Linked DNA regions of Sus scrofa. The protein of the gene in region 1 interacts with the protein of each later gene in a biochemical or structural test. Links are inferred from orthologs where the notes say so. Each region holds a gene or a part of one and is shown in the gene's direction. Other genes may lie near its edges.

The links.
Region 2: the proteins of PAX3 (region 1) and SOX10 form a complex in vitro, tested with the Homo sapiens proteins (2 studies listed by BioGRID and IntAct). The link is inferred for Sus scrofa from reciprocal best matches to the Homo sapiens genes PAX3 and SOX10.

What each region holds. Positions count from the first base shown.
Region 1 is NC_010457.5:124,186,265-124,190,294, reverse strand, and holds part of PAX3 (paired box protein Pax-3), read left to right. Parts: intron 1-598; coding exon 599-728; intron 729-1,872; coding exon 1,873-2,007; intron 2,008-4,030. UniProt on the Homo sapiens protein: Transcription factor that may regulate cell proliferation, migration and apoptosis. Involved in neural development and myogenesis. Transcriptional activator of MITF, acting synergistically with SOX10.
Region 2 is NC_010447.5:9,889,187-9,893,316, forward strand, and holds the start of SOX10 (transcription factor SOX-10), read left to right. Parts: upstream 1-1,252; 5' UTR 1,253-1,495; intron 1,496-2,455; 5' UTR 2,456-2,537; intron 2,538-3,059; 5' UTR 3,060-3,137; coding exon 3,138-3,577; intron 3,578-4,130. UniProt on the Homo sapiens protein: Transcription factor that plays a central role in developing and mature glia.

The sequences.
Region 1 (4,030 bases):
GTAAACTGAAAACTTCCAAACAACAGCCTCTCCTCCCATGCCAACCCTCTTTGAATCTCTGAAAACGTTTTTTATTGGGGGAAAAAAGAGCCAGTCTCTCAAATGATCCATATTTGCTATCCATTCTAATACTTAAAACCTAGATACTCACCTTTTGCATTTCATTTTGCTCTTCACTTTAGCTAAAATCTCGTGCACCTTTGGAAAGGCACAAGTTACAGATTTCACTGGATGCTTCTGCCCCTCTTTCAAGCGTTCCTTTTTTAGTTTCGTTTTCCAGTGGACTCAGTGTAAAGAGTTACATTTCTTTATTCACATGGATCAGAAGGTACACCCCCTGTAATGTGTTGTACCTTTTCTTAAATTATCCTAATTGTGGGAGCTCACTGGGGGAGAAGAGTTCCCAGGCTGCTGCAGGCTGGGATGGTTTTCTCTCTGCCCCTTTTAAACTGCCTTGGGGTGTCAGGGTCCTTTTTGCTAACCAGGGGGACCTTCCCAGGGGTTGCAAGGAGCATCCCGTCAGGCCCGCAGACAGTGAGGCTTCGACATCTGGCCCAGAGGACTGGGTACCAACGCTTGCCTGCCTGTTCTCTTAAAGCAGGTGACAACGCCTGACGTGGAGAAGAAAATTGAGGAATATAAAAGAGAGAACCCCGGCATGTTCAGCTGGGAAATTCGAGACAAACTACTCAAGGACGCGGTCTGTGATCGAAACACCGTACCCTCAGGTACGAGGCCCATTAAACGTCTTCCTGAGACAAGACGTCAGCCGCCGTTCCCAGCCGAACCATAATCACCCCGCTGGTCGATCTGGGGATAGGCGGGCAGCCCCTCCCAGGGCTCTGAAATATTTACGAACTAGACATTTTTGGTGTTTTATGGAGGAATGATGAGCTGCTTGTCCTGGGGTTGAGAGACTGCCGCTGAGGGCTCCCCAAAGAGAATTTCTGTCGTGCAGGCAGGGCAGGAAACGCGAGGCAGAGGCCAAACGTTTATTAATATTGATGTTCCCTTTTAAAAAGAAACAAATGTTTGGGTAACCCCAACTGAAGGGAGATGGGGCCGCGCCAAAGGAGACTTCGCTGGGTGCTCATAGGAAGGAAGGCTTCGGCAACCGCCAAGATTTTTTTTCTGGGAGAGTCCCAGGGATCATCCGGCGCCCCCGGCGGCCAGGGGGAGGCGGACAGAGAAGAGGGGCGAGTGCAGGGCGAGCGCGAGGGCGCACGGGTTTGTTTTTAATTAAAAGGAAACTCCCTTACCCCCCCCCCTGCGAGAACGAGATATTTCAGAGCATGGATTTGTTTACCAGACTGGAATCTGGAAAAAATAAATGGGGAGAGTGCATTTTCTTTTGATTTTTACAATAGGAAACGATTCCGCAGTTGAAATTTAAACCCTTTATAGCCTCAAAAAAAGTTGAATTGCAGGGAACGGGTCCTCTCTGGTTCTGCCTCCCTTAATGTGAACTGTGGGGCGCAATGCTTTCCGGCTGAGGGGGTGCAGGATGGGCCAGTGGGAGAATTTCCTTAGATTGGAGATCTAGAGACCTGTCTTTGGAATCAAGGAGGGAAACGCTTCCTACTGGGGAGAGAGGACGGAGACGGCGGTCCCTGGCCCTAACTTGAAGGCTCAAACTTTCCAGGCTCCCGGTTCCCTGTTCCCTAGAAGCCGATAAGGCGACGGGGGATTTCAGGAGGGGAAGAGTCTAGAAAGGTGAGGATGCCCAAAGATGCTGGAGGAGACCAAAGCAAGCTGTTCATGGCAGGCCTTCTAGGCCCCTCATTCCTACCCCGACTGGGGACTGGTGGGCCCCTTCCAGCAGGGCCCTACAAGTCTCAGTCCTATGCGCTCCCTTCCTCCTCCCGCCCCCAGTGAGTTCCATCAGCCGCATCCTGAGGAGTAAATTCGGGAAAGGCGAAGAGGAGGAGGCCGATCTGGAGAGAAAGGAGGCTGAGGAGAGCGAGAAGAAGACGAAACACAGCATCGACGGCATCCTAAGCGAGCGAGGTAAGCGGCGGCGCGCTGGGCGGCGCCCTGTCGTCCTGCGCCTCGGCAAACATCCGCGCTCTGACGTTGGGGGCCTTGAGGGCAGCGCAGCCCCGGCTCGTGTCAAGGTGCCTCCTTGCTCATATCTACTGCATCCGGCTAAGAGCATTCAAGGGAAGGACCAGAGACGCACTTGCAGGGAACACAAAAATCTTTTAGGGTCTGTTTTTTGTCTTTTTTTTTTCTCTTCTATTTTATCTATTTTCCTGCCGCACCACTCTCAGTCCTTGGGAGTCTGGAACTGCGAATTGTGCTCTAGGTGTGGGGCTACTCTCTCGCCCTCAGGCATAAGGCACTGGGCATCTCTGAATGGGGGGGGGGGCTAAGGGCAGTCCGTGAGCCTCCGGAGATTAAAGGGACTTTTGCGCCCTTAGGAAAGGCCCGGATCTCCAGAGTCTTTCCCACAGCAGAGTAGGGAGGGGAGCGAGGGAGAGAGGGTGGGGGACAGGGTTCTGGAGAGGAAGAGACTCAAAACTCTTTTAGGCAGAAGGGTGCCAAAGTTGTATGGCGCTGACTGTCATAGATATATATGTGTAGATTGGCTTTTTTTTCCCTTTTAAATTGGTTTCCAAATGCGGTAGGATTTGAGCTGTGTGTCTCTGGAAAGTAAAACAAGCCTAAGCTCTGGGCTACAAACTGAAGAGATCCGGGTTCTTGGGCACGCGGTGCTGGCACCCTTTCTCCGCCCTGGGGAGCGGACTAATGGCTTCTTGTTGGCTGCGAACTGCCAGCCTCAAGAGAAAAATCTCCCCCGTGGAGCCATAAGTGCAGCTTGCTTCCCTTTTACCAGCTGCGGGTTATCTCCAGATTCTAAAGGTAACCCCCTCCCACAAAAAAGTCGACCCTTTGGGAACTGAACCCCAAAGCGTTCACAGCCTCAGGAGAGTCTCAGCACTTTCGGCCTTGGGGAAGATTGCACCTCTTCAAAGACGCAAAGTGTCTGGAGTCGCGCCCCCCACCCCGCCCACGCGTGGCCTTCCCTCGCCTGGGGCCGAGACTTGGTTAGACTGAGTTGACTTTTGAGTTCACCAGGTGAGCTTGAAGCGGTCACCCACTTCGACCAATTGGGTCTCAGACCCCAGCCAGTGGCGTCCGGGGCAGGATTGTGGGTAGGGAAGCCGATCATTTGCCCAACCACGGGGCGAACCGCTGTCCCTCCGGGGCAGCAGCTTTACAAATCAATGCAAACTCTGTACACGACCTCGAAGGGACATAGATTTAGATGCAGCGTGGAGATGCTGGGGAGGGAGGAGGGCGAGAAACCAGCCCACCCCAAACCCAACGGACCCCAGCAGGCAGCGGGGCCATAAGCCCAGCGGGTAGGGGAGGCTCAGGAAGGGGGATGGAGGGTGGCAAGGCTTTGCTACTTGTTGCTGGAGGCGCCTGCGCGGCAGATCGGCAGCTCCCTCGCAGCTACCGGCAACCGAGGCCCAGGAGACAAAACGCCCCAAATGAGCTGGTCAAACATTTGTACAACTTTTCCAGCTTTTACAAAGAAGGCCTTCTCTACACAATCTACACTTGGAGATGAACTTGGGAGACAAAGCCTGGAGAGTCCATTGAAACTCACACTTTAGCTCGGCCCAGACAAAGCTCCAGCTCGCAGCAGCTTGATGTGAACAAAGGAAGGCAACCTTTTTATAATTCAAGGAGAAAAGAAGAGAAAACAGCCCCACAAAGGGCTGAGAATAGACATTATGGGCTTGCAATGAGGGATGAATTATTCAATGAGCCCCAATAGCTGCTGCACCAGGAAGTTTTATGGACTCTCCAGCGTGGAAAAAGTGGCCATTTCACCTACAAAATGTTTCTAGTCTTTTGGGCCATCTAGTCGGGCCCGCTGCCATTGAAGGGCAATTGCTACCATTTAAAAAAATCAGAGTATTTTCCCCAGCGGGGGCTGAATCGTTGAAAACACATATACACACACCTCAGAGGCGAAGTCTAATTTAATTTGGGCTTGTCAAGGACGATGCAGCGTCAG
Region 2 (4,130 bases), on another chromosome or scaffold:
TCCTGCCAAGACCAGAGGCCCCGGGTCTTCACCCAGGAGCCCGCCCCCCTCCAGACTCCCTGCTCCCCAGGGATGAACACAGGGCATCCCCCCGCCCCTGCTGGAGAAAGCCGGGTCCCTGGGGCCCGGACTGGATGGAGGACATCAGAGTTCCCAGCATGGCGGGCAGTGTGTTCACAGCAGAGGCTACTCCCCCCGCCATCCAGAGCCCTGGGCATTTGACAGCACCCCCCTCCCCCCCGCAAGGCCCACCAGCCTCATCCAGCACCTCTCAGCAGAGAGCCCAGCACGGCGCTATGGAGACAGGAGGAGAGAGGAGGAGAGGGGGGGAGAAAGGGACGGGGGAGGGGAAGAGAGAGGCCCCTTCAGTGCAGCGTGGCTTTTCTGCAGACCCAGAGCGCCCACTGCCACCCCCACCCCCATCCTGGCACAGCTGGGCCCAGGAGGGTGAAGGGGGGAGGCGGGGAGTCGAAAGGGGAGCTGTGGGACCCCACACCTGGCTTCCTACCCTCCACGGCCACCCCTCCCTGCCTGGGGCGGGGGTGGGGGGGTCCACAGGCCGAATCACAGACACCACACCTCCTCAAGAGGAGGAACCCAGGGGTGGAAGGATGAGCGGGGACCCACCGGGATCGGGAGATGCCAGGCAGGCGGGCCGCGGGCGGGCAGCAGCGGGTGTTGGAGACTGCTGTGGGCAGCCGGACACGACCAGCTGGATGCTCGTCCCTCCGTCCCTCTGTCCATCCAGGGCGGCTCCTCTCTGGGCGGTTCTGAGGCCGGGCGGGCGCTGTTAAAAAGCTTTTTATGTGTGTGTGTGTTAATCACATGATTGCCGTTCACCTGTATTTCGAACAAAGACAGCTCACTGTTTCAAGGCCCCGAACAAGAGTCTGGGCACAGGGAAGAGAAGGGAGGCGGGGGGAGGAGGGTTGGCAGCGCCGGGGGTGGCGTCGAGGAAAACTGGGGGGAGATTGTCCAAGGCCGGCGAGCGAGAGAAAGAGAAAACCCTTATCAAACTCCTAATTCACTGGGCTCCGAGGCCCCAGACACACTGGCCCGATTGTCTGGCTGGTTGTGTGTGCGAGCATGTGTGTGTGTGTGTGTGTGTGTGTGTGTGTGTTCCAATGTCCGCTCCCCCCGCCCCCAACATGCCTTCGCCTCGTGTGACTACCTCATTGTGTCCCCCCCCCACCCCCTGGCCTTTCCCAAGCACGAGGCCTCGCCTAGACCCCCTCCAGCCCTACTCCACACAGGACTCCCTCCCGGTGGGCCTGGGGCCTTGCCCCGCTGCTGAGGAGCTCAGAAACCCCAGATCGCCACCTTGGCCCAGGCTCCATCTGTCCTCCGCGCACACCCTCGCCTCTGCCTCGACACCCACCTTTCAAGAAGAGATGGGGCGGTGATCTTTGCAGGAGGAGCCTGGGCAAGCCGAGGAAGATGGGAAGGACAGAAACATGGAGGGGTCACCCCACGAGGAAGGGAGCTGAGGGGACAAGTGAGCCGAGAGGAGGAGGAGGAAGGCAGGGCTCGTCCCTCGCCTGTGTCAGGGTGGGGGAATAGGGGATTGGCGACAAGGACTGGGACTCCCGCTACCCGACAGAGCCTGACCCCAGGGTGGAGGGAGTTGGGTCCCAAGAACCTTTCAGATCTACTTGAAGACAATCCCAGCCCAGCTCCGGCCCAGCCTCCTGTCTCTCCGCCTTGAGCCAGCGTAGCCCTTAGGGGCTGGGCCTCCGGTGACAGGGGCCAGGGGTGGAGCAGGGGGATCTGCCCTGGGCAGGGGGTGTCCAGCAGCGCCCTGCCCCACTGGGTATGGACCCGCAATCTTCCTCTCTTGCTGTTTAAGTTGAGGACGGGAGGGCAGCCTGGGCGGAGGTAGGAGGCAGGGTGAGACAGGCTGGCACTCAAGAAGAGGTCCTAAGTGAAGCCACCCAGGCCAGCGCCCTCGCATGTGACAGAGCCTTCACCTGCCTCCTCCTCATTCCTCCCCAGTCCTTTGCCAGCCGCCCATCCCACCACGCCGACGCAGAGGTTGGGGGTCCCAGTTGGGCCCAGTTTTCCTCCAAGCTACAGGTTCTGCCCCTGCCCACCTGCACCCATTGGCTTCCCTGGCCTGACCGCCCCCATTCCTACACCTCCCAAGATGGGCCTGGGGCAGCAGTGCAGGGGAGCCGGGGTGGGTGGGGTGGGGGTGGGGGGCCTGGCGGAGGAGCCCTGAGTGTTGGGGACGAAGGAAAGCGCTGGAGGCTCCACCTTCTGCCCTTCCCTCCCTCCCCTCCCCCTCCCCCTCTCCCCCTCCTTCCTTCCCCAGCCCTCGGCAGCAGCTCAGCGCTCAGTCAGTCTCAGGCTGTCCGGCCAGGGTGGTTGGTGGTGAGGATTCAGGCTCCGTCCTGACTGAGGCTCAGGGCCCCCAGCCCCTCCCTCCCAACCCACCAGCGTCCCGCCCCCCCCCCAGCCCCGAGCTGGACCGCACACCTTGGGACACGGTTTTCCACTTCCTAAGGACGAGCCCCAGACTGGAGGAGAGGTCCGAGGAGGTGAGTGAGTGCGCAGCCCGCTCCTCCGTTCCTCCCTTCCGGGGCCCAGGCCCGGGCCCCTTCGGCGGGGCGTGGGCTGGAGAGAGGCTGCCACCGGCATCTGTCCCCCATTCAGCCCCTCTCGATCCTTGGGGGCAGGCGGAAGGGAAGAAGGGAAGGCGAGAGAAAAGGTGGGAAATTCCAGGAGCCAGGATTAGAGCAGAATAAAGAGTCCGTTTTTCTTCCTTTCCATCAACAAACCTCCACCCAAGAGGAGGTTTTTAAAAAAAAAAAGAAAAGAAAAAAAAAAAAAAAGCCCAAACCCACCCACACCAAGAGACGGCTGGGACCAGGTGGTGGGAAGACGCAGAGGCGGGAGCCAGGGAGGCCGAGCCTGGGTCTGGCATGTGCGCGGGCCCCAGGGGTTTCGGTGGGTTAAGGGGAAGCCGGGCGGGAGCCACCTCGGGGCTCAGCCCGCGTCGCGTCGGGGCCGCCGTCGGGGCTTCGCGCACGCCGCTCCATCGCGCCCTCCTTCCCGTCCAGGTGGGCGTTGGACTCTTCGCGAGGACCCCGGCGGCGGGCCCCGGGGAGGTGGCCGAGGCGGCGGCGGCCGGGGGCGACATGGCGGAGGAGCAGGACCTGTCGGAGGTGGAGCTGAGCCCCGTGGGCTCCGAGGAGCCCCGCTGCCTGTCCCCGGGGAGCGCGCCCTCGCTGGGGCCCGACGGCGGCGGCGGCGGCGGCGGCGGCGGATCGGGCCTGCGAGCCAGCCCGGGGCCAGGCGAGCTGGGCAAGGTCAAGAAGGAGCAGCAGGACGGCGAGGCGGACGATGACAAGTTCCCCGTGTGCATCCGCGAGGCCGTCAGCCAGGTGCTCAGCGGCTACGACTGGACCCTGGTGCCCATGCCCGTGCGCGTCAACGGCGCCAGCAAGAGCAAACCGCACGTCAAGAGGCCCATGAACGCCTTCATGGTGTGGGCGCAGGCGGCGCGCAGGAAGCTGGCCGACCAGTACCCGCACCTGCACAACGCCGAGCTCAGCAAGACGCTGGGCAAGCTCTGGAGGTGAGCGCCCCGACCCGCCCGCCGGCGGGCAGCTCCCGCGGGCCCTCTCACTACGGGTGGCACTGCCGGGGGGTGGGGGGGCCCTCACCAGGGGCAGCCACCTCCCTGATGGGCCTGCTGCGGGCATGGGGCCCGCCCTTCCCCCACAGCACCCCCTGGGGGCTGCGCTCCTCGGAACTCTCCCCACGGCCTGGGCCTGTCTCCCCAGCCGGGGCAGAGGGCTGGAGGGCGCCCCCTCGTGGTTGGAATTCTGTCGGTGGCAGGGGCTCGGGCCTGGGCTTCGTGGGGCCAGTGAAGGCGGGAGGGAGCATGGGAAGGGTGGTGGGGGGCTCGGCACCGCAGGCCTTCACTAGCCCTTTCCACAGGCATGCCACTCAGGGGCTACTGCCACCCCTTCCAAGGGTCAAGGGCATGATGGGAAAATGCTTGGGAAAGAACTCTAGGCCTGGCTGGGGAGGCAGGGACACTGAGGCAGCCAGGTGGAGAACGGTGCCAGCCTTGGGGGGGATGGCAAACAAGGAATTTTGAAAGGGTGAGGGATGGAGAACTGCTG